Mytilus edulis: one gene and its partners. The protein of the gene in region 2 interacts with the protein of the main gene of each other region in a pairwise test. Links are inferred from orthologs where the notes say so. Each region holds a gene or a part of one and is shown on either strand. Other genes may lie near its edges.

Region 1 (11,210 bases), on a different chromosome or scaffold from region 2:
CGATTACGCGCGTAGTCGTTTAATCCATTTGTTTCTTACAGTTTTTGGTCAACGTTTACATCGTTTACATAAACGATGTACGCGCAAAATAGTCGCGTAGTCGTTGATCGTTTATCGTTGAGACGTGTAAAGGATATATTTGTTTCTGCATCTGTCGTTTAAATAATTACGAGCACGTGTTGTTTTCATAAAGTCCTGGTTATTTATTTCCCGCACTTTTACCTGTTTGTTTACAGTGCGTGAGTGTAATCTATTTCTGTCTGACTACGCGGGGTCGATGAAGTTTATTAAATGATGTATTTGTTTCTAGCAGCTTAACGTTTACTAAACGATAGTCATCGATGACAAAATTTCGGGTTAAAATGCACTCTAAGTGTTGTTTTAAGATGAGTATAGAAACATGATATTAACACCTCTAGATCTTATTACAAACATAAAATTGAGAATGGAAATGGGGAATGTGTCAAAGAGACAACAACCCGACCAAATAAAAAACAACAGCAGAGGGTCACCAACAGGTCTTCAATGTAGCGAGAAATTCCTAGTTTGTATATATATTTCTGTACTAAAATTTATCACCAGAGTATCAAACAGCACATGGTGTACATAAATGACGTAAATCAATTTCTTGGTCACTACCAGTTCTAGTGGTTGGTGGAGTTCACATTTAAAGGTTAAATATATATATAATACTATTTGAATTATACCAGTTCAAGTGGTTGGTGGAGTTCACATGGCATTTAAAGGTTAAATATATATATAATACTATTTGATAAAGGTTAAATATATATATAATACCAGTTCTATTGGTTGGTGGAGTTCACATGGCATTTAAAGGTTAAATATATATATAATACTATTTGAATTATACTAGTATCAATATTCTAAGAGCATACATAAGAATATCATTCTTTATAGATTACAGGGTTTTCTCAACATATATATTGCAAAATATCAACTGCTGGCCAGCAAGTAAATCTGGTTAATAAGTAATCAAAATAGTTTAAAAGCTTCACATTGTGTCCAGGGTCTGATATTTGAAATAAACAAACCCAAGATATTATCTGTGTTGATTGTTTACAAAACAAGGTCAATTTTTGTATTTATCATTATCAATTGAGATTTAAATAAAGATCATTATATGTTCCTGTACAGTTTGAAGATAAAATATATACAATACAAAAATAAATATATAAATAACAAGATTATTATACTTAAATAAAGTATAGGTAAAAATTGTTGAATTAATGATGCTACACAACATATGCACAAATCCTTGTTCAAGTATTCATTTGATCGCATTTTCATTTACATAAAATCCCACATTAAATGTACATGTAGAATCAATTTAAATTAAATAATGCCAAAATGATTAAATCCATTAATTGTTATATCATTCAATATTCAATACAAATATATTTATTTTGTTTCAGTTTAATGTGTTATCCACTCAGTTATTGGGTTACATGTAAATCATTTTTTTTGTAAATAAAGTTTATTTATATTTGTATATACAAATGTATATATGCTTCAGGAATCTGATGTTCATGGTCAGTAGTAGTTGTTTGTTGATATGATTCATAAGTGTTTCTTGTTTTTTATATACAAATGTAGATTAGACCGCTGGTTTACATGTACACTAGTCATTTTTGGGGCCCTTTATAGCTAACTGTTCGATGTGAGCCAATACTCAGTATTGAAGTACTTTTACAAGTTGCGACTTGGATGGAAAGTTGTCTCATTGGATCTTCTTATATCTATTCAAACATTTCAGCTGATATATATCTTCTAATGTTAGGATAGTTTAGCTAGTTACATCTGACAAAATACCCTTTGAGATATATTTCTTCAATAGTACACACAAATTAGTGTATTTCTAAACAGTTAACAAATGTAAACTGACATTAAATCATTTACACAAATCAATAGTATGTCCTGTCTTGATTCTGATCATAATCTCCCCTAATGATAGAAATATTTTCATTTTTTACTAATGTCATCCATTGATAAGAAATATTTCCCATAAAATATGAGATTTGACAGGGACATCCTGTTTCTTTTTAACATGTAAGAGTACAAGTGAAACCAGGTACAGCTGGTCAATATGTTGAAATGTAATCTTACAAGAAATATTGTTCCATATTAGAGTGTTAGAGTAAATAGAAACAGTTGTGTTCCATTTATTGAAACTTATTTTTGGAAACATGCAGAAAGAGTCAAAATTAGAACTGTCTGTTATAAACAAGGACTTATATCCAGAAATGCTGTAGAAGACATCAGTGAGAATCCAAAGCTTAAGGTTTAGAAAGGGGTTTAATTACTAGAGGAAAGAATGGATGAATTTTGTGCATAATTTCAATACTTTTTTTAGTTTTTTCATTATAATATATGGTAATACAGTTCCGGCAATTTTAAGGAAGTGATCAATTTGTGTTTTTAAATAGATTAAAAAAAATAAGCATTACATGTGTCACTTTGTTACTGAATTTGCTTAACAAATATTTTTTGCAATTTTTTATTTTTATCAATTCATGTAACGTGATCACAATTAAAAGTTTCATTAGTTTAAACAGAAGAAAATACCAAATAAATGTTCCTTTAAAATTCTAATTAAAATCAACTTTACATTATAGTTTAAATATTCAGACATGTTAAATGACTTTAATATAATATCAATGGTAAGCTTACATGTGGAGTCTGTGATTAATCAACTGGTTCTACTGGTACCCTTATTGTAACTATCTATGTAATATCATTAATCAATATTTTCAATACTTCTGACATTTACACTGAACCATTTCAAAAACAAAATCAAATGCAAAAAAAAAGGTAGTATTACAATACTGGACTAGTTATATATATATTCTTTAACTAGATGTAACAGCTTCCAGTCCCGTTAGCATAATAGTCTCAGTAAAAAACTTCAACTCAGTTTTTGTAATTAAATTGATTTTATCATAATTTATGAAAATAAACTGTTATCACAGAGATATGTTCGCCTTTTTGTAATTTTGATTATGCAAATGTTGAAATCCAAATAGCAATACTCTAACATCTTACACAAGTTATGCAAATATTCAAAGTCAATGACCCATGACTGAGTTTAACTGGCTAAACAATCTCCATGGAAATGAAATGTGCCAATGCTAATACAACTGCATACCACATACCATTGACTTATTATAAGTCGTTCCCAAATCTAAATACAAACTATAACTTGTAAACTTTGAAAAAGTTTCGAAGTAAATGAACCATGAAGAGGGGGTGGGGCTATATAATCTCCATGGAAACAATACTTGCAAATGCCAATAAATTTGCATACCAAATATTATTGACTTAACATAAGCAGTTCATCTTAAACTGATCTAATCACAAACTAATAAATGTAAACCAAGATAAGTTTCAAAGTCATTAGACTGTGACTGAGGTGCAAGGCCAAATATACTCCATGGAAATGAGATGTGCCAATGCTTATACAACTGAATACCAAATAAAATTGGCCTACCACTAATGGTTCCCCTTGAACTGACCTAATCACAAACTAATACATGATTTAACTTAGAATAAATTTCAAACTCTATAGACCATGACTAAGGGGGCAGAGCCAAATTATCTCCATGGAAACGAGATATTCCAATGCTTATAAAACTGCATACCAAATATCATTGACCTACCACTTGTGGTTCCCCATAAACTGACCTAATCAGGCACTAATACATGTAAAATAAGCAAAAGTTTCGAAGTCAATAGATCTAGACCATGACTGAGGGGGCAGGGCCAAATAATCTCTATGGAAATGAGATTTGCCAATGCTTATAAAAAGGCATACCAAATATGATTGACCTACCACTTGTGGTTCACCATAAACTAGACCTAATTACAAACTAATACATTGTTGACGCCGAAAACAGCATACCTATGTCTCGCTTTTTGACTCCGTCAACGCAAGACAAAAAATGGATACACATGTAAAATTGCTCACATGCATTTCACATGTCAGAATCTCATGTGAAATCCATATGAAAAATATGTTGCAGGCTCGACAAAAATCAAAACTCTTAGCCACATGCACACCTTCAGTATATATACAAACAGATAGCAAAGTAGACTTCCTAGCATTCGAACTGTAGAAGGAGTTATGCGGAATAACGATATACCAATAATGGGACGTACGGAAGGACAAACGTACAGAGGGAAGGAAGGACAGAGGTAAAACAATATGCCCCCTAACCTTTCAGTTGCAAGGGCAGGCAATATAAGCATTGATGGTCGGAACTGTCACAAAGCTATGTGAAACCCAACAGATGAACAGAATCTACCTAAAATTCAGGCAAACATTAATGGAACTATCACAAAGATATGTGCAACCGAACAGAATCTACCCTGAAATTTAGGCAAACATTAATGGAACTATCACAAAGATATGTGCAACCTATCTCAACCACTTATATACTTTAAATTATAAATTCCTTGTAATGAGGTCAAGGTCAGATTACCCAAGCCAGTCAGACATGTACACCTAACAATCATTATTTTAGCTGAAAATTGATGTAAAGTATTCTTAGAGATGTCTAACAATTTATGTTTGTTTTGTTTGTATATTTTGGTGTAGACTGGTGAGATCGTTTAAAAGTTCTTTGGCATTTTTATGGCACAGTCATCATTTGAATTAGTCCAAATAATTGGGCCATTCCAGTTAATTTCTGACAGGTGGGGATGGATGGGGAGATTTTTGTTCATACCTATCAGAAAAAAACATCACGAAAAACTACCTATCAGATCTATATATTAAGACCTATCAGATGTAGAGTTTCTGTTCAGATTGGGTGGATGGGCTTTCATGGAAAAAATTGACCTATCAGAATTTTTTACTGCAAGGATTGTACCCATCAGAATTTTAAATATAATGCCAGATAGTGCATGATACGAAACTGTCTACATTCCAAAGCACCCCTAAGATCTGAAATAGGTATTTTTTGTAACCCCTAAGATGTAATTATTTTTAATTATTTACTGCTGCAAGACCCTCAGAAATTTTTGCGTATAAGTGTACGTGTCAGATGAAAAAACCCAAAATTTCACCCCTAAGATGTATAAATTTAACACCCCTCAGAAAGGACCATCCATCCCCCTTTAGCAGATATTAACTGGAATGGCCCATTATGATGTCTGGCCCAGGAAAAAAATCAAAATAGTCTTGCTGGACCTCATTATTATTTGGACTACATTTAAATAGTCAAATGATATATAAAAGTCCAATGAATGATATAAAATTTCAAATGAATTACATGTAGATGAACTAGCACAAACCCAAGAAAAAAGTGCATGTGCTTGCAGTTTGGATTTTCAAAAATTAAACAGTGCCAACCTATAATGCTATCATTCAGCATATCATATGAATTACTGGGTAAAATCTAACAATCAATATGATACCATTGATTGCAAGTTTCACCATGTACACTAACGACACCTTTGGGTTCCCAATACACAACAAAATTTAGCTTATCAGGGTTTAATAACAGAAAAGAAAAGTCACAGACAGGAAGTCATCTTCTTCGCTCAAATCTGAATCCCTGATCATTATGGGTTTTTTCAAGGATTTGTATAGTAAGTCACAAGTCCTTGTTTTTTTTTATGTACAAAATTGTATAAAATGCATAAAAGATTTATTTTAAAGTCTTGTATACATACAACAATACATAATAAGCTCTGTAGATTGTGTATTGACATAATGAGTTCTGTTAACAACTACCAACCTTGGGATGAACAATTAGATTGTATGATCTTATGTTGTATTATTTAAACAAAAATAATCAATCAATCAATCAATCAATACTGACAATAGTATTGACTTCAAAATTATTAAGCTGAATCAATCAATCAATCAATACTGACAATAGTATTGACTTCAAAATTATTAAGCTGATTCAAGTAAAAAGTATCAAAACTGTATAACAAATCACATTTATACGGAATTCGTCCTCTTTATATATTTAATAATATAAAAGGATACTGCCTCATAAAATGTATCTTCGTCCATAATTTTTCAGACTTTAGTTCCTAGCACATCCATCATATTTTATTAGCTAAAAGCTCTTACAAAAATAACTATGTAGCAAAAGTATGTTGAAAAAAAAACGGTTTATGTCTTTGATTTAATTGAGTGAAATTTACCTGTTTTATTTCACTGGCATTCTTCAATAACAAGTAGGATGTGTTTCAGTGATATATACTGACTTTGTAACCTGAAAGAAGGGACCATAAATAGTGCTTGAATATTTACATGCAAACTACCGCTTTCTCAAACGCAGAGATGATACACATATTGCGTGGATGTTCTTTGGACTTTTTTTATTTTACAGCGAAAAATCTAGAGAATAGTTTCACTTTAAATTTGCAACGCACGTTGGACGCATGGTTGTCAAAGAAGAAATGGTTCTCTTAAATTCATGTTCCCCTCCAGATGAGGGGATACGGAAAAAACAGGAAAATACGTCAGCATTTGTTGGCGAAAGAGCACTTGGAAAAGGCACGCTGTTTATTGCAGAAAGGTTGCTATCAAACTCAAACTTAGATGATAATTGATGATATGATATTGATTACTGTGTTTACACACTTGTATACTTCAATAATAATAATAATAATAATTCTTTATTTAAAGAGTGTTACACAGTATAACACAAATCTTCCCTGAAGCCAAATGCAATGAAATATAACAAACAATTTACAAAATAATCAAACAAATACACACATACAGGCATACAGGTGGGTCTCATTGGGGTCTAAGCGTGACGTGGGATTGCCAATTTTTTTGTACTCTTGACACATGAAAGTCAAATTTTTTCTGCCCTGAAAATGGGAAATGAGGTCTAGCGGAACACCGGAAATTACAAAAAAATGAGAATTGCTTAGCCCACATACATTAAGTGTAAGCGGGATATGGGAATCTAACAGTAAGCGGGAACCGGGATTAGAACCCCCAATGAGACCCCCATATAGTAATGTCCCCGCTGCTGGTGATATCGCTCATTACCTGTTTTGACATATAAGCAATGTAACACAAGTAGAATTGTTCTTGTAATTGTTTTAGTTTTCCAAAGGAACAGAAAAATATTAAAATTGATAATTTCAAGAGTATTGGCAGTACAGTGTATCTAGGCACCTAAGACTTATGACTTCACTTCATTCAATTGATAAAACCAATAGTTGGATAATATTGCATTAACACATTCATAACATACTTTTATTACTTAAATCTTCTGTTTGTATGATTTCACCCTGAAGATTTGATGTGTTCAAAATTATGGAAACCCCTGTTTTACCAGTCCGTCAAATGTCAGGTGATTTCGTTCATGCCTTCCAAAAATAGCTTATTTTGAATAAAGAAAAAGATTTAATACTACAAATTTGAACCAAACACACTGCCTTGCAATGAGGCAGAGCAAAATTTATTCCAATACTTATATTCCAAATATATATGCATATGCCTCTTAATTATTGTTGTTGTTACCAATTATGTAAATCAATTGTATCTGATTTTATGCCCTTTATGGGCCCTGTAATTTTGGAAATAAAAATATTCTATTCTATTCTATTCCATTCTCATATAAATGTGACTTGAATAAAACAAATTTTATCTGATTTTTAAATGGAAATTGGCTAGATATGGTAAATTATGGGATTGCAGTTATAAATTTACTCTCAACTATCAATTTTATTCTTTTCTATCCCTTCTGATAGCTAAAACAATTACAAGAACAGTTTTATTTGTGCTATTGTGCAGATATGACGAAATCAGCTAATGAGCGATATCAACAGCCATGTGGACACCAGGGACTCCACTGTAATCTTATAACTGCATTCCACAGCTAATGAGCGATATCAACAGCCATGTGGACACCAGGGACTCCACTGTAATCTTATAACTGCATTCCAATCATTAACCATAGTTAGCCAATTTCCATTCAAAATATTACATCATCATGATCTGATAAATTTGCTTTATTTAAGTCAAATTATTACCGTATCTCATATCCCATTAAAGTCCCTCATGATTTAATTTCAGTTGTGTGTCATGGCAGAGCTCAGAACATGAAGGACAAGGGTTTTCCTTACAGTACCCTGGTATAAGTATACATGCTGTATCCAGAGATTTAACAGCCTTTCCACATGAATGTTTATACTTGATGGTGGAAGGAGATTTAACTGGTAAACAATAAATCAATATTAATATTGGTCGAATTGTTATAAAAATAAAAATTTGAAGCGTTTATGATTACAATTGTCATGCATGTATTCTATTTCTGAAGGCTAACGATTTGCCATATATATTTCAACAACCAAAAACGAACTTTTGTAGTTTGCTTTTTTAACATCAGTATATCAGTATGATAAGTCTTTACAAAAATAATATATGAATATTACAGAGAAATCCTACAATTATATATATATTATACATGTACATGTTATAGTTACTGAATAGTTAGAGAGCCGTAGTGTAGTGGTTAGTGCATCGGACTACTAACACAAAGGTTCCTGGTTCAATTCCCGTTTGGGATGAAAGTTTCAGGAACTCAATTTTCAGCTCTCCCTTGACACCATCTGCTAGTATGGTCTTGAGGAAACGATGATAGTCTGTCGGAAGGGGACGATAAATGGCTGACCCGTGTTAAGAGAGAGCCATATCTCTTGCACGTTAAAGACACCCTTGTAGATTTCGAAAAAGAGTAGGCTAATGCCGCTACAAGGCTGCACTCGCACCCGCAAAGTGGAAAGGGATTAATATAAGTTGCAAAAATTGTTTCCCAATCCACTATAAATAAATATGTTTAAACTAAACTAAGTTACTGAATTATTTGAGCGTGTATCAGTTTTTGAAATAAACTGATACAGTACATGTTAACAGTTATACATACACATGACATAATTATAATACTGGCATACATCTAACAAATTTAAAAAAACACTTAATGCTTATTAGGACATTAAAACTTTTCATCCTTTTTGGTGTATAAACATGATAAAAAAAGATGAATATTGTATGGACAAAATACCCAGTGAACCTCAAATCTACCGATGTTTTTTGTGGCAGTAGTGTTTGACTGTAAAATTGAGAATGATATCTTTTCTCCAAATTGTCGTATAATATATTGAAAAAATTTGCTAACATTGTATTGACAGAATAGCCGGTAAACTATATTGTGCTAAACTACATGTGTGTTGTAGATGATGCGAACAGAGAGGAGGAAGAATCAGATGATGAAGACCTTGACCCATCAACAGAGATGAGATTTGTACCAGACGATAAAACTGTGTGTATGTACTCTCTCAGGGATAACAGTTGTACTGGAAATTTTATATAAATCTTGTTTTCAAAACATGCATATGATTTATTTAACTTTAAATGTCCGTAATATTTGACATCTATAAATTTATTATTATTAGTCCCCTACCAACCAAGTCCAAGGCGGCTTTAGGTTTGACTCCTTTAGTCTGGCAAATCAGTTTTCCACACTTTTTTCTTCATGCTTGCAGATACTGATTTGATATTTGCTATATTGTTTTAATATCATGACAGGTTACAGATCAAGGTAAATTTTGTTCTGGCTGGTGATTTTGTGCAGAGTTATGATCCTTGGACTTGAAAAATTCACTCAAATAATCAGTGTTCCACAATTTTTTTCTTTGTGTTTGCAGCTATTGATTTGACATTTGCTGTTTTGACTATTGTTTTATCATGAAAAGTTACAGATCAAGTTCAAATTTTGTTCTGGTCTGATGATAGCTATTGTCCTTGGACGACTCAATTAAATAATCAGTTTTCCACCCTTTTTTTCGTCATGCTAGAAGACATTGACTTGATGTTTGTTATAAATTTACACCATGACAAGTAATAGATCAAGTAAGCATTTTGTTCAAGTACAATGCATGCTAACCAGTAGAGGACTATGTACAAATGATTCTCAGAATGCTTGTTATTATTGTCTTACAACTTACATTAAGTTTAATACCTTTTGCCCTAATTATTTTTTTCAGTAGATCAGTGATATTAAGCCATATCAAATTTTATTTCAATATACCTCTCTTTTTCAGTGGATCAGTTATATAAAGCCATGTCAGACTGTCAGATATTGCATCCTGATGAAAATGATTCAGATTTTGATGGTAAATGTTATAGACAATATTTGTGTTTAAATTGTGTAGTAACTTATCAATTGGCTTAATCCCAGTCTGTGTTTCTGTTTAAAAGGACAAAAACCTGCTGGCCAATTGTTTAGCTGACCTCGTAAGGGCTGTATAGCCAGTCAAGGTCGTTAAAAACTTCCATCATCAACCAATTGTTAAAATCTTTAAGAAAGTGTATGATTTATAAAGATATGTAACGATTTCATTCGCAAGTAGTGTAAATAAAAGGAGATATTCATCCATGAGATAGTAATTCATAGCCACTAATAAGTAAATTAATATTGAGAAATATCTTTTTAAACTTTCATAATTAAGACATATTGATTATTAAATGTTTTTTTATTTTTTATGCATTGCCATAGCTGAGGGGGCATTAAGTTTTACCCTTGTTCGTCTGTACATCCAAAAATTGATTTCCATTCTCTAACTTTATTTTGGCTCAACCAAATGTTATGAACTTATACCCAAAACTTATTACCACAAAGCACAGATCAAGATTGAATTTTGGTGGCACCACCTTTACTGTTCTAGAATTATGCCCCTTCACAAATGGAAAAATTTCAAGTTTTAGTGAAAATGTTAGTTTTGAATGGTGCTACTAAATTTACAACGTATGTATTTATAGAAGGAGGATTTTATGAAGGAGAAGATGGATTAGACCATTTATCAGAACAAGGTCAAGCCAATCTACAACGTATGGAAAATTTATTAGGTCAAGGTGATGGTCAGCTAAATAATAATCGTAAGTAGTTCAATTGTAATTCACTGGTATATTAGTTTGTGAAAATATGATATTAATTGTGGTGTAGGTTTTAACCAAAAGTGCAAAATGAAAATATTAAAATATGTGATGTAAAATTATATTTTGAGATCACTTTATTAAAAACCACTTGATCTTTCGCAATTATAGAACCGTGAGTTCGTGGTCTAGTGGTTAAGACTGATGGCTACAGTGCTGAAGGTCCCGAGTTCGATTCTCACTCGGGGTGCTAAAAATATCAGTACATCAGAAGGGTAATTTTCAC
Region 2 (11,527 bases):
TTACTATTAAAAAAAGTTTTTTTTAGTTTTCGGACAATAACTCAATAAGTGCTTTCAGCAGTTTTCATGAAACTTTAGTGCATTGTTCATATCGATTGATGTAAGCTCCCTTTATAATTTTATAGATTTTTGATTTTACGATTCCGAGATATGGGGTTTTATTCATTAAAAAGGGGCGATTTTTCAGTTTTCGTACGATAACTTTAAGATGCTTTCACCAATTTTCATACAACTTTGATGAATTGTTTATATCTGTTGATGTAAATTCCGTTTTGATATATATTAATTTCTTATATGACATTGAGAAGTAATGAATTTCTCTGAAATTGTACCACACGGTTTCATATCACAAATTGAGGTTGGGGGTACATGTAATTGCTCCAAACGTTCAGGAATTAGGGTTCAAAAACAAGCATTTTACTAGTTATACTATTTTACAATAACTTGTGTTTGAGTGTATGGATCTATCTAAAATTGTACTACAAGGTTCCACACCACAAAAAGAAGGCTTGGATTGAGTGTGGGGGTAATTGCTACAAGAGGAAGGGGGTGGGCGGGGGTCATAATTTTTTCTGCAAATTTTTGAAATTTCAAATTTTTTGAAATATATCAAGAAGAAATCTCCAATTGCACAATAAATTTTTAAGACCTTCGACCATATTTATTTTGTGTCAGAAACCTATATTGTGTCAAAAATTTGATCACAGTCCAAATTCAGTATATATATCAAGCTTGGGTATTGTGTCCAAACGTGCCAAAACTGTTCAACCTCTGCGGGCGTATCAGGCTGCGCTCAGCGAAGCATTTTATTGTTGTTGGTGTAGGTCATCAATAGTACCAAAATATATAACTATGCATAGTGTTTGATATTCCCAGATTATTTGAAGTCTAGCGGCCTTATTTTTAACTTGTTGGTCCTACAGTTCGCTAACAACAGTTTGAAGAAATACTACAAAATATGATTTTTTTTGTGCCCAAATTATGTTAGCCTGAACAAAGCATTAAAGAGAGATTGAGAATTATGTACAATACAATACGGTGCTAAATTTTCTTTGATTTCGACAGCCAGCAACTGATGTAAAATTTTGGATGATTTTCGTTATTTTATTAACGTTTTTAATTGAATATTTCAATAAATATGATTACTCTACAAATCACTTGTTTTCATACCCCCCCCCCCCCCTCCCCCCCCAAAAAAAAAGTGAGAGGCATTAGATGTCAAAGGAACATTCGGGAAAGATGGACGACACTTGGATAATTTCTGCCGTCACATGTGAAATAAATTACGATTTCAAATAGCACGTCACACATAATTTACGTCCAGTGGCAAGTTTAATGCATACTAGTATTCAGAACTAGAACATATTAATTTTGACCCTGCTTTGTATTAACCCGACAGGCTGCACCGGATAAATATAAATGTGAAATGAGATTTTTGATGAATTATTTATACATGTAGTATAGAAAACTATAGTTATGACGTTTCATGCATGTTATATGAGAAAACGGTCGAAACTCATTGTTCCTATTTACATTCCTCTGTTGGACTGAAAACTACAGATTCCGGAAGTGTACGCTTACATGCTGCTACTCTTGGTCTATTTGTACCCCTCTCCCCACCCCCCCCCGAAAATATACCATGAACTCTACATACCGCATCGCGACGATACGCTGCCAAAAAAAAGTATTTGTCACCGACTTCGTTTTCGAGAAAATGGTCCGAGAGGGTACTAAATCATATTGAATATGCTATGAATTTCCATCGTTCTTAGTGGTGATTATGCATGATGATTATGTGTTTTGTATTGATATGTTCTTTTAATCATAAGGGTCTGGATAGAGGGTCATTCATTTATTAATATTTATTTAGTGTTTCCAATATTTTTTATTCTTTATATTTAAGCTTCATTCTCTAATCTTCTGTTTTTTGTCTTTTATTCTGCAGTATTTGCCCATTATTCTGTATTCCGTAAATTTACCCCAATACAATCAGACCCTTTTTTATGGACACGTATTTTTATTTTAATTATAACAGTTGTAAAAAATATCATATGTTCATTATCATTTCTCCTGCTTTAGTGGAACGTCCCTTCGAGCGGCTCGCTATTTTTTTTAAAATAAGAACTAGCTTTACGACGGACACGAAAACGGCGACGTCATAATACAGAACTTTACGACACTATAGCGGCCCCGATAGCGATGCGTATAAACAATAGTGTGATTTCCCTTTAATAATGTCACTGAATGTCATTTTGCACAAATAAAGAGTGTAAGGCAGATATGAGCACGCTGATGTGCACACTTTGAATGATGCACTGCCAAATTAACAGTTTCATATCAAATTCATATCAAAGTAAAGTTGAAAATGCTTTTTTTTTCTAATCAAATGTCAATCATTGGAATGGCCATCTGATTACCACAATTGCCTTTTAAGTCTTAAGGGATTAAAATCGGAATCAGATATCAAATGTCCGGCTGGCTCAAATATTTTTTGGAAGGCCTGTAAAGGAGCCACTTCCAGTTTAATGGTGTCAAATTTATAGATGTTATCTATATATTTTGGCCTGATTGACTCACTGTACGTTGCTCAATATCCAGTGGCAAATATCTGAATCTTATGTATGTTCAGGACTTTCAACTGAAATTTTCTGGCTCAAACAACAAACTGTATATATCCCCCTTCTTTTTGAAGGTAAATGATTGCTGCCCAACTTGAAAAAAGACCAATCAGGTTACTTAAAATGCTTACCTTTGTCTGTTTGTAAGAGTAGTAATGAATAATTGATTACCCGTACAGACAAATTCCCAAGGGTAATTTTAAAAGCTTTAGAGCACTTAATTACTGACCAAGTGCACCAACTGAAATTATATATACCGGTACAAGAGAAAGGGATAATTGATGTATGTAGAGAAATTGAAGAAAAATTTCTCAAAATATAGAAAATGGATGAAAGTTACATATATACATTCCAAGATTAAAGGAAACACCAACAGGTGATAACAGATATTATCAAACCACTGAAATAGGTAATAATGAAATCACTTATATAAGTGGTACTCCACAATTATTTGGACTACTGTCTATGAGAAGTATGTGTGCTTACAGCAAACAAAACCTGTGTTTCCCATCTGTTGTTAATGTGTGCACTGGGTATTCCCAAGTAAAGGAATGTTGTGACTATTGTATTAAGAGAGTTAATAAAGTTATCATAAGTTATTTCTAGTGTTTAGTATATATATTGAAGGAGTAAATAATGTACATTTTACTTTATGTTATTAGCTGTATCGATAACGTCATATACATGTACAAAAATGTATGGCGCAACTTTGTCATGTATTGTTCAGAACCTAACGGTTGAGTCCATATTATTAAAGCGTGAACCAGAAATGGTACATTTACATTGTATGAGTTCTTAACTGGAAGAATAAATATGTCTAGATTTGTTTATTCATAAGAGTTAATTATTACAAGAATTTTGAGTCGAAGACTCCTATATTTTATGTCAATGTTGGACGTAATGTTTTTCTTCCTGCTTAGAATATTTACTTCCGGTAATTTCAAATAAGTAACAGTGTAATGTCACGTTCGTCATTCCTTGATGTATTTTCATTTCACTTACAGCAAGGCACCCGGGGGTTCCTAAAGGTAAGAAGCAGCGTATTTAGGTGTATGTTTGCCGTTTATCTTATGAATATGGGTCGTAGTTTAGAGGTAAGAAGCAGCGCAGATAGCTGTATGCCTTGCATTTATTTACATTGTCAGTGTAGAATTTAAGATAATCCCATTTGGTCCGTACAAAAATACAAGAGAAAGAATGTTATTTTAGTACCTCCGCCCCATATGTTAATTATATATTGTTTTTCGAATGGATGTATGGAAATATATCTGCTGTACTAGAAGTTTAATACAGGCATCATTTTTACTATTGATTATTTATTCACGCTACCAATGCTGAGAGAGAGAGAGAGAGAGAGTTTTATGAGTTAATTCGTATTTGCTGGCTTTAAAACTATACAAAAACATACATTTTTTGTACCAAGAAGCAGAAATTACAACACCATCTGACAGATGTTTTGTGAATACTAGTTGGTGAGTTAGCAGGTATTTGTTGGGCCGATTATACATGTTAGATATGGGGCGAGTTGTCACAAATTCTATCAATTTCAGTAGTCAACAATCTAAACTCTTATGAAAAGACATTTAGAATAAAGAAATACTGAGAATTAAATGAAATTCGAAATAATTGATTGATTAATTTGAACATTTTTATGTGTAACAGCTTTAGTAAAATTTCGAAAACACATAATTCACAAATTTTCTGGTCGTCCAAACGCACCTGCTCTTGTTCATCAGCCATCTTCGAGTTATTGGTCTGATCTTATAACCCAAAATCTAAGTTCATTTTGTGTTTATTCATTAATAATGTAATTGCGTATAAAGGGTGTATGTTGTGCTAGAATAAAACCACTTAATAATGAAATCATAAATTTATTATGCTGATATAACTTTTTGCATCAAAATCTTTCGAAATTTAACATACATGAGTTTTCGGTACTTAATCGTACCACAGCTTTGTTCTGAACGGGACTTTCCAATTTCGCCTTTGCATATTAAACTATTTTAATAGATTGATCCCTTCAAAAACAGTTGTTTTTTTTTAATTTGCATTATTCCCATTTGTGTCATTAAAATACATTGATTGTATATAAAATAGTTATCAAGCGAAATCTGTAGGGACGAGTTGGCCTTTATACGACTCGATTTATACCGGAAGTTTACTTTGAAGAAGCCGAGGCGGCATGTTTTGATTAACAATAACAACGATTGACATAAATCGTCTGGTATTGATTGTTGTTAGAATACGTCCTTCATAAAACCTATTGAAAACAAATACACCCTTTTTATTTTTATAGTTTTTATTCTGTAACTAAATGACACTTTTGACAGCGACCAACAGTCGAACACTGTGACCAGGTATAAATTTGTGTGAAAAAGCATCATCTTATTCTGTCATATAAAGCCTGATAAGGAGATTAAAGTCTGACCTAGGAACAGTAATCTATTGATATGTTCCTGGTCTGACAAATTAAGATCAATTTGACATACTAGTTATGTCTGACAGTCAGATCAATACACCTTAAATCTGCTATTGCTTTATATTTGTCTGACATTACTGGACATCACAAAATTCTTGTAAAAATATGCCGCTACTATGGTTAAGTGATTTTTGTATGACGTCAAAAGTTCAAGCAGAACAGATTCTCAGGTCAAGGGGGACCGATTTCCAAATAGCGATAAGGTTACTGTGTATACAGTGGGTCTCATTGGGGTCTAAGCGTGACATGGGATTGCCGATTTTTTTGTAAGCGTGACATGTGAAAGTCAAGTAATTGTTTCGTGAAAACGGGAAATGAGGTCTAGCGGGACCCGGGAAATGACAAAAAAATGAGAATTGCTTACGTACATAGTGTAAGCGGGATACAGGAATCTGACAAAACAGTAAGCGGGATCCGGGATTGGAACCCCCCAATGAGACCCCCTATATAGTTTAGATAGATCTAGATAGACAGACAGACTTTCATGAAGTTTACTTATCCTTGTCTCACAGGTTTTTGTTCTATTTAAAGAATGCATTGTTGTGTCATAATTACCATTTACATTTAACTGTTAAACTAATATGGTTCAAATTTTAATATCTTGTTAGTGATGACATAAAGATCAATAGAGCAAACTAAATTGATATAATGTTAATTGTAGGTAGCAGGATGACAAAGATTGGTACAGTTACAGATCCAGTTGTCAATGAGACTTGGAATAAAAGGCAGTCATGGAAACAGGCAAGAAAGAGTTCCTTCTGGTGCTGTGTAAATATCATTTTGGCTATAGTGATGTACATGGAAATGTAAGAACCAATTTTACATGTTTTAAATTAAATATTTGAATCTCTAATAAGACTTTATGATATCAGTTTTAGATTAAATGCGGTGAAGTATTTAATGTCCAGTCAATGACAGTGTCTTAGTTTGCAGCATTATAGAGAAATTAACATGTAATATGAGAAAGGTCATGAACCAATAATGTTAGCTTTGTGATAGCAACTGGAAATGACAATGAGATAAAGATGTAAGAAGATTTGGTATGAGTGCCAATGAGACAACTCTCCATCCAAGTCACAATTTGTAAAAGTAAACCATTGTAAGTAAAAAAAATTGTAGGTCAAAACTTTATGTTAAAATATCAAATAGTTTGACTTATATAAGGGAGAATGTAAATAAATAATTTAAATTTACAATGAACACTTATTTGAAGGCCTTTATGATTTGTTTATTAATTTTTTGAACTTTTTTCTTTACAGGCAGCTGAACAGTATAGGATCTAGTTTAAACATCACACATCCTGTACTATGGTACTTTGGTAAGTTACACTAAAAGAATGAATTGGCAGACACTTATTCATGTTTTTTTTAGAAATGAACAAAAATATCATTTTCAGGTGTATTTGTGAAAAATACCATTCTTGAGAAGAAATGCATACAAATACATACAAAGAGTTAACATGCAAAAAATATGTGTTGAAAAAATGCAGGTATTATAGAATTATAGACAAAAAAGCACATGTAGTGATTGAGAAACAACACTAAATATATATTTTAGAAAAAAAAATGTTTATTGAAGGCATTGCTCACAAATAAGCGTGCTAAGATATATAGTTCAGATTGATGGATATAAGATAAATTTATTAAGATGTAGATTCCCAATAAAGTAAGTTGACTATTGCTTATAAATTGTAGTACCTGAGACGAAGACCGTACAATGCAAATTTAACATTGACAATTGCACCATGACATATGCATGATGACATAAAGGATACTAATAAAAAAAGTAATGAATAAAATCATACTTTATATTGTATTTTTTTCAGAATGTATTCTGGCTGTGATATTTTTATTAAACAGTGTGACCAACTTTTTTGTTTACCTTAAACCATACGTATCTACCAAGTCTGTAATGATGACTCCAGGGCAGAAAAAACTCCTAGCTGTCAGAGATATAGGTAAATGAATGGTTAAGTTGTTTGATATTGATGTGAAGTAGCAGATGAAATTTATTATGAAAAAAAAAATGAAAAGTAAAATATATTACTGAAAAATTAAACAAACCTTGGACCTGTATGGAATAGTACTGAATCTGTTTTAAAATTTTGAAATTAAGAATGACTCAATCATTAAACTGTATTTTAACTAAACTTATATGTTATAAATTTATTCATTCAAGGATGCATAATAAAACTAAACAAAACCTTGTGTTGTTAAACATTGTGGGTCACCAATGCATCTAGATATGTTTCTAAGAACACTGCTTTGTAGATTTATAATAATAATAAAAATAATGATAATGAAAATTTATCAAGGGCCCTATTTAAAAAAAAGAATTACTCTTAAGGCACTGTACATTCTGTGTCAAATTCAAATACTGAAATAAAAAATAAAACAAAAATGCCTACCTTAAGATAAAAGGTCAATACTAAAATAAATATTAAAACAAAAAATTAAAAACTAACAATCAAGGCTAAAAGCATGCAAAACAAGCAAAAACCCTAAAAAGGAATACGGAAAGATTGATTCAAAACAAGTGGATTTACAGTTTTACACTATACTTTATTTATTACAAGACTTACAGCTTGGATTCTATTTTTCAGATGCTGGATTCAGTGTTTCACCAAGGAAATTGAATTTATCATCAGAAGAAAGTTTAATGCTGTCTAGTACACCTTCAGCTCATTCTAGTTTCTCTAGTACAGCAAGTCAGCGACAGACGACACCTACAAATATGTCTGGGCCCATTAGCTTCAGTAATCACTCCATTGTATATTCAACTTACAGTTCACCAGCAGCAAATATTAGTGGGGTATGTTTACCTGTTTGGGGAGAGGAAATATTTTCTTGTTGAATTATTCATTATCCACTACATGTAATTACAAACATAGTTTTAATATAAACATGACAGATAAAAGCTGAAAATATTAAGATATTTTAAATATCTATGTTATTTAAATACTGAAAAGCTCTTACATTTAATTATTAAGTTGTTCTCAATATAATGGGCTAATGATTCTCCAAATCTGTTAATTTAAGGTTCAGAATCTCAGCAGTATTAGTCCTGGTACATCATTTGCTCACAATTCCTCCATGTCTCCTAATGTATCAGGATTTACCCATCATCCATCGTTCTCACCAGGAAGTTCCTTTTCACCTGGAATGCAGAACAGTTTTGATTCCAGTGGACTGCGAGGAAGGAGGTCCATGTCTAATTCATTCAAGGCTTCTCCAGGTAAAATGAAGATGTATATATAACTCTCAATACTTTATATTGATATCGCCAAAAAGGTTTATATTCAATATACTAAACACTTGGTTTTTATAAAGTTAATTTTAACAGAAAGACAAAAATATAATGGCTAAAGGACGAAAGAAAGGAAGAAAGACGAAAAATAGAATGTCTAAAGGAAGAAAAAAGGGATACATGAGATGATATTACCTAAAATACAAAAGAAAGATATTTTTAGAAGTAGTTTTTGTCCAGCCTGCAACTTTTGTTGCAGAAAGCTCGACATAGGGATAGTGATTTGGCGGCGGCTACGGCGGCGGCGGTGTTAGCTCACTTCTTAAAAGCTTTATATTTTAGAAGGTGGATGCTTCATACTTTGTATATAGATGCTTCATGTTACGAAAATTCTCTCTTATTATAAGTAATAGAATAACTATATTTGATATGTGCATACCTTGCAAGGTCCTCATGTCTGTCAGACAGTTTTCACTTGACCTCAACCTCATTTCATGGATCAGTGAACAAGGTTAAGTTTTGGTGGTCAAGTCCATATCTCAGATACTATAAGCAATAGGGCTAGTATATTCGGTGTATGGAAGGACTGTAATATGTACATGTCCAACTGGCAGGTGTCATATGACCTTGACCTCATTTTCATGGTTCAGTGATTATAGTTAAATTTTTGTGTTTTGGTCTGTTTCTCTCATACTATATGCAATAGGTCTACTATATTTGTTGTATGGAATGATTGTAAGGTGTACATGTCTAGCGGGCAGATGTCATGTGACCTTGACCTCATTTTCATGTTTCAGTGGTCAAAGTTAAGATTTTGTGTTTTGGTCTTTTTATCTAATACTATATGCCATAGGTCAACTGTATTTGGTGTATGGAAATATTTTATTATCTTTATGTCAGTCGCACAGGTTTTATTTGACCGTGACCTCATCACAGTTCATTGCACAGTGTTAAGTTTTTGTGTTTTGGTTTATTTTTCTTAAACTATGAGTAATAGGTCAACTATATATGTTGTATAGAAGTATTGTTAGCTGTACATGTCGGCCTGGCATGGTTCATCTAACCTTGACCTCATTTTCAAGGTTCATTGGTCTTTGATTAGTTATCTTGGTTAATGTTAAGTTTATGTGACAGTTGTAATAAAGCTTAGCTTTATACTTAGGACTATCAACATAATATCAATGATTAGTATAGAAGGCGAGACATTTCAGCGTGTGCACTCTTGTTTAAAAGCATTCACCATTTTTGAAAATTACTTTTGTTTTATTATGTACAAAAAAAAACTACCCATGTAGTCGGGTGGATATGATACTGACATTGAAATCACAAATGCCAGGAGGTATTATTTAAAAACAACACCATTTCAATAACTATTTACTGTTCTACTTTTAGCATCAACATCCTTTGATAGGATCACAGACCTGCATTCTCTCAGCCAGTATTTGAAAGAACAAGATGAAAGAGAATATAAATCAGCTTTGAGTAAGAAAGTTTTTGTTGACTTTAACAGTAGTAGTTTTCTGATTTCTGCCATAACTTGATAGCTGATTCTTCTTTTGTTGCCTATAAAACAATAGTATATTCTAATGCCAGTTAACTCATAACTAATGAATATATTGTCAGATCACAGATAAGAAATTATGGTAAATTCAAGTTTAATTCTATTGCAATCATGCAATGGAAGACTGCTGCATTTGTACATGAATAAGTGTATAGAGAATATTAATTAGACAATTTATGTTATATTTAGAGAACTGTTGATGCGTAATTATAACTTTACTAGAAAAAATGAATAGACTAGTGAAATTTTTATATAATGATGAATAAACTACAGATTTACTATTTCAAAACATTGAAGGTTCACCTGACAATACCTCAGCTGGAGCCTCATTCTGGAGTTATGGAAGATCAGCAATGGATTGTACACACCTATTAAAGAAGTATATGTACCAGTTGGCTAGCAGGTCACCACAATCACCCATGTCTAGACATTATGATAGTGACCAATCATCATTGTACAATGGGGAAGATGTAAGCAATGCTATTTAAGAGGGTCTGGATGGGGTGTAAAGAATAAGAGATAATGGTCAGAAAGTGCAGAATTAAGGGCAAAAAATATAAAAAAATGTAGAAAAATATGCCAAAAAATAGAGAATAATGGGGTTTTGCAATATTAAGAATAGAGAATAAGATCAAGATAAATGAAGAATAGATTTCTTAAAAGAAACGAAGGAACACTTCCAGACCCTCATTTGATATATATTACTAATTTGTTTCATAATAGAAAAGTATGTTTCATTTTGACCTAGTAAGAAAATTGAGGTAAAATGCAGGTTTATATATTAACTATCTTGTTTCATGTATTATTTAAGAAATCCACTGGATACATGACTATTAATTCAAACAAATGCTGCATTTCAAAACATCAAACTATGACTTATTGAACTTTGATCTTTTTATTTGAATATGTAATACAAAAATAAGTAAATGTGATTTGCTTTCCAATAAGAAAACTCTTTTCCAGAGACCAAAAGATGTGTAATTTTACAACTATAGGTCACTGCACAGCCTTCAAACAAAGAGCTAAACCAATACAACATAGCAAATTAAAAAAAGATACTGAAATGACAAATGTAAAACAATTCTAATGAGAAAAATAACAGCCTGATTTATTTACCAAAAAATATACAAAATCATGAATGATATATAGCAGCCATATTTATCTTCTCTATTTAGATATGGGGTAAGAGGCGTGTATCAGAAGATGAATTATATTTATGGACAGAGAGAGTAAGAAAGGTGAGTAGACTGTTCTTGGCCATAAACAGATAATAATATTAAAAACAAGATGTGGTATGATTGCCAATAAGACAAATCTCCACCAAAGACGGAATGACATAAAAGTTTTACAACTTAAGGTCCCCGTAAGTCTTGAAACTACTGGTAATAGCTGCACTTAATGTTTTCAAGTGTTGTTTGCAAGTTTTCTTGAGAAATTACATTTCTGTCCATAAACTAAGGTTGTCTCAGTTCAGAGGATTCATTTGATTACTTTTTTTTTATATATATAAAACTACTAACTAATAAATACCTTTTTTCTATGTATTTGTGGAAAATATTTTATTTTCCTTGAAATAAGATCAAGAAATAATGCAATACAAATCTTCTTTGTATTTGTACAGTG
Region 3 (9,234 bases), on a different chromosome or scaffold from region 2:
CATTTGAACGGTCAACCCCCTAAGCATGTACTGTTTTGGAGAATAAGAGTATTGTAAGCAGCAACTGTACAGTATATCAAAGAAATCCTGAAAAAATTATATATATATATATTGACTGATTGGTAGTGAACTATGTCCATTTACATGTTCAGGATGATCACTTGTTCATATAAATTGTCATATAAAGATCCTCTGCAATAAAGCAAAAGGAGTGTTTTTATTCATTTTTATTTTTTGGAGCAGAATTATAAAAACAATCCATTCATAGTTCCTTTAGCCAACTACCAGAATAGTAAACAACAAACTGATCTTACTTTCTTAATTCTTTATCTTTTTATGCTCCACCTACAATAGTAGCGAGGCATCATTTTTTTGGTCTGTGCGTTTGTCCATCTGTCTGTCCTGCTTCAGGTTAAAGCTTTTGTCGTGGTAGTTTTTGATGAAGTTGGTGTCAAATCAACTTGAAACTTAGTACACATGTTCCCTATGATATGATCTTTCTCGTTTTGATGCCAAATCAGTTTTAATCCCGATTTTCTGGTCCACCGAACATAGAAAATAATAGTGCATGCAAGTGGGGCATTTGTGTATTAGGGACACATTCTTGTTATTGATACACATGTTGTATCCATTGTTGGTTGACAATGTTTGTACATGTTCATTTTTTTCTCCAAAGGAATAGGACGATGGTGGTTGTGTAGAGGTTATCTGAGCAACACGCCAAGTGCCACATGTGGAGCAGGATCCTCTTACCGTTTTAGAGCACTGAGAGCACCCCAGTGTTTCGTGTTGCTTCGTTTAGTTTTCTATGTTGCGTCTTGTGTACTATTATTTGTGTGTTTGTCTTTTTTTTTCACCATGGGGTTGTCAGTTTATTTTCGATATATATGAGTTTGACTGTCCCTCTGGTATCTTTCGCCCCTCTTTTATTATATCTATAAAAATTATTAAGCATTCAAAAAGCATTGCTGGTTGTACAACTACATGTGCCCTACAGTTTATACTCACTAGGCCTGACATCAATGTGTATTAAATTGAGACTGGAAATGTAATGGGGAATTTCCAAACCGTCAAAGAGACAACAACCTGACCACAGAGCAGAAAACAGCTCAAGGTCGCCAGTGGGTCTTCAACACAACAAAAAAACCCTGCACCTGGAGGCGAGCTTTAGCTGGCCCCTAAACAAAAATGTGTACTAGTTCAGTGAAAATGAACATCATTGGCAATCATACCACATCTTCTTTTTTATAATCACACGTAACTCCTAAACATATATGAACTTATTATAATAAATTTAAAAACATATATATAAGACTAACAAAGGCCAGTGGCTCCAGACTTGAGACAGGCACACAAATGTGGCAAGATTAAACATGTTTTGTGAAATCTCAACCATTGTCAACCCTCTCCTATACATCTATAGCCAATGTAAAATAAACAAACACACAACAATAAATGAACATACATGTACATTTTTGAAAGTACATTGTATCAGCAAAAACTATTGTCAGTATATTGAGATTGCATTGTGTATGGCATTCAGAAGTTCAGAAGGTTAACCATGTTAACAATTTTTGTTTTGGCTTATAATACTGAACTCAAAATACTACAATGAACTTTTTTTTTAGTACATTGTCACAAGGATGTATAACATACCTCCTTGGTTGTCATGATTGTATAATTGTCAATACACCTACATGCATAAATGTATATTTTTATATACATGTAAATGTATGTAAAAAATGTATAATCAAAGTAGCATGAATATTCACAAGTTAAGTTTATACTGCTGTATGTATAATTCTTTGAAATTATCCAGTGGATTGTGTAAAAATGTTTAGAATAACATAGTTTCAATATATCAGCATCTATTCTCATCATTTCTGCGTTTCTTACATGAACATGCTTTGAACATGATGTTGAATAGACAAAATATGGTTCTTCCAATTCCTGATTGTGCTGTACATTATTACTTGGAAACCTGTACAGTACCACATCCAGTGGTCCAAACCATTGAAAAATATTGTCCCGCATCAGTTAGGTGCATCTTTTTTATCGACTGCTTCTTTCAGCAATTTCTGTTCTTTTTCTTCTTTTTTCGTTATTTCTTTTTCTCTTTTCTGTCTCTTTTTTATAACTGCATCACTTATTGCTTTCTGCATCCGTTGCCGCATTATCCTTTCTTCATTTACCTCCCAATGAATCGCCTTTTTCATGTCAATTTCGTCTGGTATCTGTACAAATCTTATATTCGGTCCTTGTATGTAAAATTGCTCAAAATTTGTCATTTTTCCTGACAATGTTTTGAAGCAAACATTTGACATCGAAACACACATAAATCCGTCAACATAATCAATTGTTCCTGTGACTGTATGTTCATTCCGTAATTCAACAGTCGTCACTTTTCCTTCAAGCGCTTTTAACAAAGAAATAAGTGAATTTTTAATCAGAAATTTCTGTCGATTGCTTGCCATTTTAGGGATTATTACGGTCTAGGGAAAGAAACGAAAAGGGCATGGTTGAATTTTATGGTTCATCCGTATTTCTCTCCTAATATTGGAGAACCTCATAACACACTTGATTACTTACCACAAGCAGAGACATACAATGTATAATATTATACAATATATGTCTCTGCACACGTTTATGGATTGATTGTGGTTAATTATGCATGATGCTTGTTCAGGTTGACACCAATTTTGATATTTATTATTATTCTATACATCAATTGAATTTGAATTGTTTTACATTGTCTTATCGGGGCCTATTATAGCTGACTATGCGGTATGGGCTTTGCTCATTGTCGAAGGCCGTACGGTGACCTATAGTTGTTAATGTCTGTGTAATTTTGGTCTTTTTTTGGATGGTTATCTCATTGGCAATCATACCACATCTTCTTTTTTATATCATCAAATTTATATGTTCTGTAAAAATATACATACAGCTGCTGTTTTATGGAATGATCCCCTATATACCTGATGATTTTAGAAAAAGATGCCAATTTCATTCAGCTTAAAAGTATTTTAAAGTTATGGAATTGAATTAACTGCAACAGATTATTAATTAATGTTTTATAATAAAATTTTACCATTCAGATCATATACAAATATAAAGATATTAAGTCGAAAAAACAGTAAAAATTCCTGGAGTTATCTTTCTTTTGTTGTGTTGGATATGAGTTTCATCTGATTTGGAACATAAGTTCGCAACTTATCAACAACGGGGGCGGGTGCTTTACGACCTTGAATTCCTACGAACGTCTCGCTCAGTCGGAGGTTCACTACACAAACAAACAAAAAATATAGTACATAAATTGTATTAATTTTATAAGTACTGTTTATGGATTTGCAGAACGTGTCATGACTTCAAATACATAAATTAAAAAAATTACCCGAACAAGGATTGGGTCGCAATTATTATTTCATTTGGAACTATAGAAATAATTTATTTACGCCAATTAATATTTACTGAATTGTATAAAATCTTTGCAAGATAATCCGTTCAAAATTTTAACCACAAAACCCGTCTGAAATAATCTTAATACATTGCGTTTAAAAGTACCGTTTTTGAAAGTTCATTATCAGATTAAAGATTTAAATTTGGTCTCGTGATATCCTGCGTGTCTGAAGTACGGGTTGTCATGAGATCCATCGCGTTCAAAGCAAAGACATGAACGTTGATGTTTTGTTACACCACTGTCCGAGGTTAGGGAAAATGTTTTGCTAAAGCAAACATATTTAACCCGACCACATTCTGTAGGTGCCTATAATTTATTGCGTGTTGTTTGTTGCTGTATGTGTTTTAGATTTGAATTGTAATTCGTTTATTGTTTCTATACATGAATCAGGCCGTTACCTTTTTCGTTTGAATTGTTTACATTTGTCTTTTCGTGGTCTTTTAATGGTAACTACCGCAGTCTGGATTTTGCTTATTGTTGAAGGCTGTACGGTGACCGCTATAGTTGTTTACATCTATGGCAATCCGGCATACCAGATCGTCTAATTTTAAAATTTGCTGCTTCTCATTGGACTATTAAGAAAAAGACCAATAAGCCTCAACAAATCGATAAAATTTAGACCGCATAGCGGATCCAGAGGGGGTGATCCCTTTCGTCCAAAAAAATTTGGTTGATTATATAGGGAATCACAGAAGCATGACTGCAGAGTCTGGACGGTCAATCAGTACAACCTCTTGAAATAAATATCGGTACAACCGTACATGATGTAAGCAAACGACAAAGAATTATCAATGGAGTTTTTAAACGTAGTGTATTCTTTCAGAGGTAAACATTGTAAGTAATTATGTTAATCTGGAATAGAATGCTAGTCTACCTTAATCTGGTTTTTGATACACATAATATGGTATTAAGAACAGGAAACAATCCTTATTGTTTTGATAAATAAACAAAACCAAGCTTTAAACCTCTCAATCGTAGATCAATGCAGAGTTTAAAATAGATTTACTTTACTTTGTACCTAAAAACCGGGTCACAATAATTATCCCACACTGCTTGGAGAAAATCTGCCCCTAACCAACATTTTCTGCTTTTCCAGTGATAGAAAAAAAAACCACAAACTTTTGGATAACAAACAATCCGGTACCTATCAATTTAATAATAAAATGATATATACGTGGTTTAGCATGGATTCTTTCCAAATTGACGTTTGCAAGTAAATAAACTCATCATAGATACCAGGACTAAATTTTGCAAATACGCCAGACGCGTGTTTCGTCTACAAAAGACTTATCAGTGACAACCTTTGGTATATATATTATCGAAACCAGGCTCAAGCTACAGCCACTCGCTAGCAGCCACTACGCTAGCAGCCAGTTTTCGAATATGTCTAATAACCAAAAAGTTGCATACAAACAAACACATTGCCAAATACAAACATCAATTTTAATACAGTAATGTATATTGACTTGCTAAATATGTCCGGAAATTAAAAATTGTGTTTTACATGGGCGGATTCAGCCATTTTTAAAAGGGGGTTCCAACCCAGGATAATAAGTTGTTGTACTGTTAAATCAATCATCCTTAATCAGAACGATAGTTGTATGTGTGAGTGTATTCGAGTGGGAGAGAAAGGCTTTTTATTTTTACTTTATGTGATTACATGCTTGTTATGAACCCTATGATTAGGAAATAAAATATCTGTATCTTATAATAAGGGGGGATCCACCCATATGTCCCCATTCAATAGCACTGATCGTAAATAAGGGGGTGCCAATCTGGACCCCTCTCCCCATCGGATCATCCACCGGTTATGTTGAGTTTTCACGAAGAAGGATTTTGTGGGCATTTTTTCCCTTAGTTAAAAAAAAATGAGAATGGAAATCGTGAATGCGTCAAAGACACAATAACCCGACCATAGCAGAAAACAGCCGAAGTCCACCAAAGGGCCTTCAACACAGCGAGAAAATCCCGCAACCGGAGGCGGCTTTAGCTGGCCCCTAAACAAAAGAATTACATATTTACACCAAAAGTTAATCAACCGGGTAAATTCATTACTTGTAAAGATAATCTGTTCAAAGCTTAACGACAGCACTTGACCAAAATAGAATCATGTTTAAAAAAAGGTTTTTGTTAAAAGTTCATTATCAGATAAACAATTTATGGTCAAACCTTCGAATTCATGGACTGGTTTCAACATATGTCATTGGACGGGCTGGTCTCGTACCAACTTAGTATGCAATAAATCGAAGCAAGAACAATTTTACTGCTCTACTGTCTATACGTATGTAACGTACAAGTTCAAAAGAATTTATCAATTTTCGTAAAGAAACTAGTATGATTATGAAATACTCAAACAAAATTGTATTTTATAACATACTATGCATTTGTGTTTGTCTGTCCGGCCTCACTTTGTATTATCTTATGTTTGTAATTATATTGTCCTCTTACACACCTGTATGTGTCTGAGGTTATGAATAAAATCTTGAAAAAATCATGAAATTTTAATAGTGTGCGTGTCTCTTGTGCAGGAGGTTGTTGGTTTCGATCCAGGACGGATCCAACTTGAATTAAAATCTTGAATGACTTAAGAACTGGTAAATTCTGGTATTCAAATTTGTATAGGTAAATAGTGTAAATAATTATGTTAATCTGATATAGAATGCTTTTATAATTTAATAATAACTTGATACAAATAATATTGAATTACGAACAGGAAACAAACTTAACCGTTTTGTTTACAAACAAAACCAAGATTTTAATTTAATTACACCGTTCAATAGTAGACGAATGCAAAATGTGTTTTCTAAAAACCTAGCCACAAATAGTAATCCACCTGATACGAACGAATACGTTTTAAAAATCCGTGTACCTATCCAACATGCAATGCTCAGTTGGTAATATGAAATTCAGACTTGTTACACTGAGGAAATTACAGCTGCTCTGAATATCTCGTACGTGTTACAATGCATCTTAACAGATTTGTATATAAAATATCTATACAGAAACTGAGTAACGTATAAAGAAAAAGTTATATCTCTGCCCAGCGAATAAACTTGATTAAAACTCAAAGTATCGCCAAATAAACTTGGAACGTGATGCGACTATTTTGCATGTACATGTAGTCCTGAAAATCACACACACAAGACACAATATTGAAAACTAAAGACTAAGCAACACGAGCCCCACCAAACACTGGGGGTGATCTCAGGTGCTCCGGAAGGGTAAGCAGATCCTGCTCTACATATCGATTGAAAATGACGCAATGTTCTTGGGTGTTTGGCTTATCTGTATAAATTATCAGTCCACTATTCAAGGGAGAGCACTCCAATGAAAATTTAGACATAACATATCCCATTTTCTTTCTTCTTTACTACTGTTTCTCTCTTCTCTCTGACCAGACACCTGAAGATTCCTTATTATTCAAATTCGCGCATTAATTTTAGGACAACTATATTGTTCGAAATAAGATGGGATATGCACTCGACATTATCCGACTGTTAAAGAAAAATCTTGAGCAATACAATGAAATATTCCTCATTTGAAAAGTTTATGCATTAAATATTCAAAAGTTAAAACAAGTTAACCCTCCCCCCCATAAAACATAAAACTATCCTCTCTCAAAATACAACAACAAACGATGTTGCATTCAAGAACACAGTTTTGTTCCTTTTAATTTCAAGACTACCTACATTGTTGGTGAAACATGCTCCGAACCAGCAATCTCAATTGAGAGAGAGAGAGCAAAAACCGATAACTCAGCATGGGATACTGCCGAACCAGATGCAATCAATAGTCAATCTTCTGAATAAATAATTAGCATTTTTATTTACATTTTATTTACATACATCTTTTGCACCTTAAAAATAAAAAGAACACATAAAAATACTGTTTAAAACATTCATATCATTCAAACATAATTAAGTCAAAAAAATAAGCAAATACTATTACATGTACATGAACAAATAAAAATAAAACAATTCCGGTCGAGACATTGGATGATTCGTGTATACTGTATAGAGGGTTTCATGTAATGAGTCCGAGTTTTTTTCGTGAAAAATATACTTGTTTCACCTATTTTTAGTTCATGTATTAAAATCATGATGTAACTCCCTCTAGACCCTCCGTACAGTGTACATGTACTCACAAAAAACAACGATATACATGAAATATATACAGATGCGTATATACATGTAAATATATCATTTTTTTCTAACATTAATTCAAACAACACACACAGTTTTCATCCCTTAATGACTTTTTGGACGGAAACCGACAATGCATTCTTACAGACTAAAAATATTCTGTGAATATACTTTTTATGAAGAACGTTTGATAAAAATTGTTGAGCATGGAGTTTAATGAGAGCAACACAATTATCTTTTAAAATATTTTATGAATTAAACAAATGGGTTGTCCACTTACAAGCTTTGGACTTTTATTAGGCTTGTTAGTCGTCAAAAACTTTAAGTGTCCTCTTTATTACACGTAGACATTTCTTCACATGAACATTTGAATATTTTATATTTTAAAATAAAAATGACAGCAGCTTATTCAATCGGCAATTCTCGGGTGATTCCGCTTCTCTCCTTGTTAGATGAGGTACGGAATCGGCCGAGTTGTGACGATTGCAGCTTATTCAATCGGCAATCCTCGGGTGACTCCGCTTCTTTCCTTGTTAGATGAGGTACGGAATCGGCCGAGTTGTGAGGATTGCAGCTTATTAATACAAAGCAAAATGCAAACACATTTGAAATGATAAGTTCATAATTCAACTTCTTAAACGTAACACTATCTTCAACATGAGACTGAAATAATGAAAAACAATTCTACATTCAATGTAGAAACATTTACGAAGAAACGCTAAAAATCATTCTTCAACGATGCATTTATATAAATGATTAAAAAGAAGAAAACATCATAAACGAAATATAAATCAGTAACTATTAAACTTAACCCTTTCAATCTTATAGATTGCTTGTAGTTTTCATTTTGAATTCGCTTTAGTCTGTCAGTTCGAACCCGTACGTGTCAGGTGCGTTCGACTCCAATCTTAATTGACTAAGATTGACAATTTAACTGACAAAAGTCGGCGGTTCTCGACTTGTTCAACCTATAAACTGAACGACATGCTGTAGACAATTAGTATAGTGCTGAGAGTGGCACTAACACCAAAATTTAATCAATCAATCATTGTGCATTCCTACTCGATTATGCCCATACTTTCCATACTTTCATTTTCCATCTATCTCTCACTCTATCTCCCTTGTGCTCTCTCTCGCTCTCTCTCTCCGACAAATCTCTTTGTCTTCGATTTTCATGCACGCTTCTTAATAATTTCTTGTTATTTACTTTAGATTGACGATTTATATTATCTTTACATAATAGTGATGTATATTTCATGCAAATATCCGGTTTTAGTACATCCAACACCCAATTTTTATTATGTATTATCTAAATATACAATTCTGTTTTATCTAAATTTCCTGTAGAAAAAAATTCTCTAATTATATCATCTATCATAATGAACAGAAACATTATTTCATTAAAAGCACTTGAATAAATAAAAAAACATTAAATAAATCTAATTTGACATCAAAGGAACAGGTTAACTTTTACACAAGTCATGTATTATAAATTTACAATCAAACAAGTATAACACACCGCAAAAAAATAGTTCGTATTACGAAAACGCCTATATCGAAATAAAAGCAAAAATACTGATTGAAACATATTAAAACGTCAGTCTTTTTTTCTAGATTTTCTCTCTCTCTGATGAA

Evidence for each region.
Region 1: the proteins of U6 snRNA-associated Sm-like protein LSm3 (region 2) and methylosome subunit pICln-like interact in binary tests that used the Homo sapiens proteins (3 or more experiments, as listed by UniProt). The link is inferred for Mytilus edulis from reciprocal best matches to the Homo sapiens genes LSM3 and CLNS1A.
Region 3: the proteins of U6 snRNA-associated Sm-like protein LSm3 (region 2) and U7 snRNA-associated Sm-like protein LSm10 interact in binary tests that used the Homo sapiens proteins (3 or more experiments, as listed by UniProt). The link is inferred for Mytilus edulis from reciprocal best matches to the Homo sapiens genes LSM3 and LSM10.

The regions. Positions count from the first base shown.
Region 1 is NC_092346.1:104,452,072-104,463,281, reverse strand, and holds the start of methylosome subunit pICln-like, read left to right. Parts: upstream 1-6,303; 5' UTR 6,304-6,414; coding exon 6,415-6,551; intron 6,552-8,065; coding exon 8,066-8,208; intron 8,209-9,225; coding exon 9,226-9,315; intron 9,316-10,092; coding exon 10,093-10,164; intron 10,165-10,810; coding exon 10,811-10,927; intron 10,928-11,210. UniProt on the Homo sapiens protein: Involved in both the assembly of spliceosomal snRNPs and the methylation of Sm proteins.
Region 2 is NC_092344.1:14,978,151-14,989,677, forward strand, and holds the start of U6 snRNA-associated Sm-like protein LSm3, read right to left. Parts: upstream 4,444-11,527; 5' UTR 4,359-4,443; coding exon 4,338-4,358; intron 1-4,337. Other genes in the region: transmembrane protein 209-like, read left to right, coding at 5,767-5,903, 6,357-6,415, 6,923-7,054, 7,700-7,908, 8,136-8,331, 9,736-9,825, 10,202-10,374, 11,080-11,142 and 1 more. UniProt on the Homo sapiens protein: Plays a role in pre-mRNA splicing as component of the U4/U6-U5 tri-snRNP complex that is involved in spliceosome assembly, and as component of the precatalytic spliceosome (spliceosome B complex).
Region 3 is NC_092350.1:69,988,597-69,997,830, reverse strand, and holds U7 snRNA-associated Sm-like protein LSm10, read right to left. Parts: upstream 2,475-9,234; coding exon 2,034-2,474; downstream 1-2,033. UniProt on the Homo sapiens protein: Appears to function in the U7 snRNP complex that is involved in histone 3'-end processing. Increases U7 snRNA levels but not histone 3'-end pre-mRNA processing activity, when overexpressed. Required for cell cycle progression from G1 to S phases.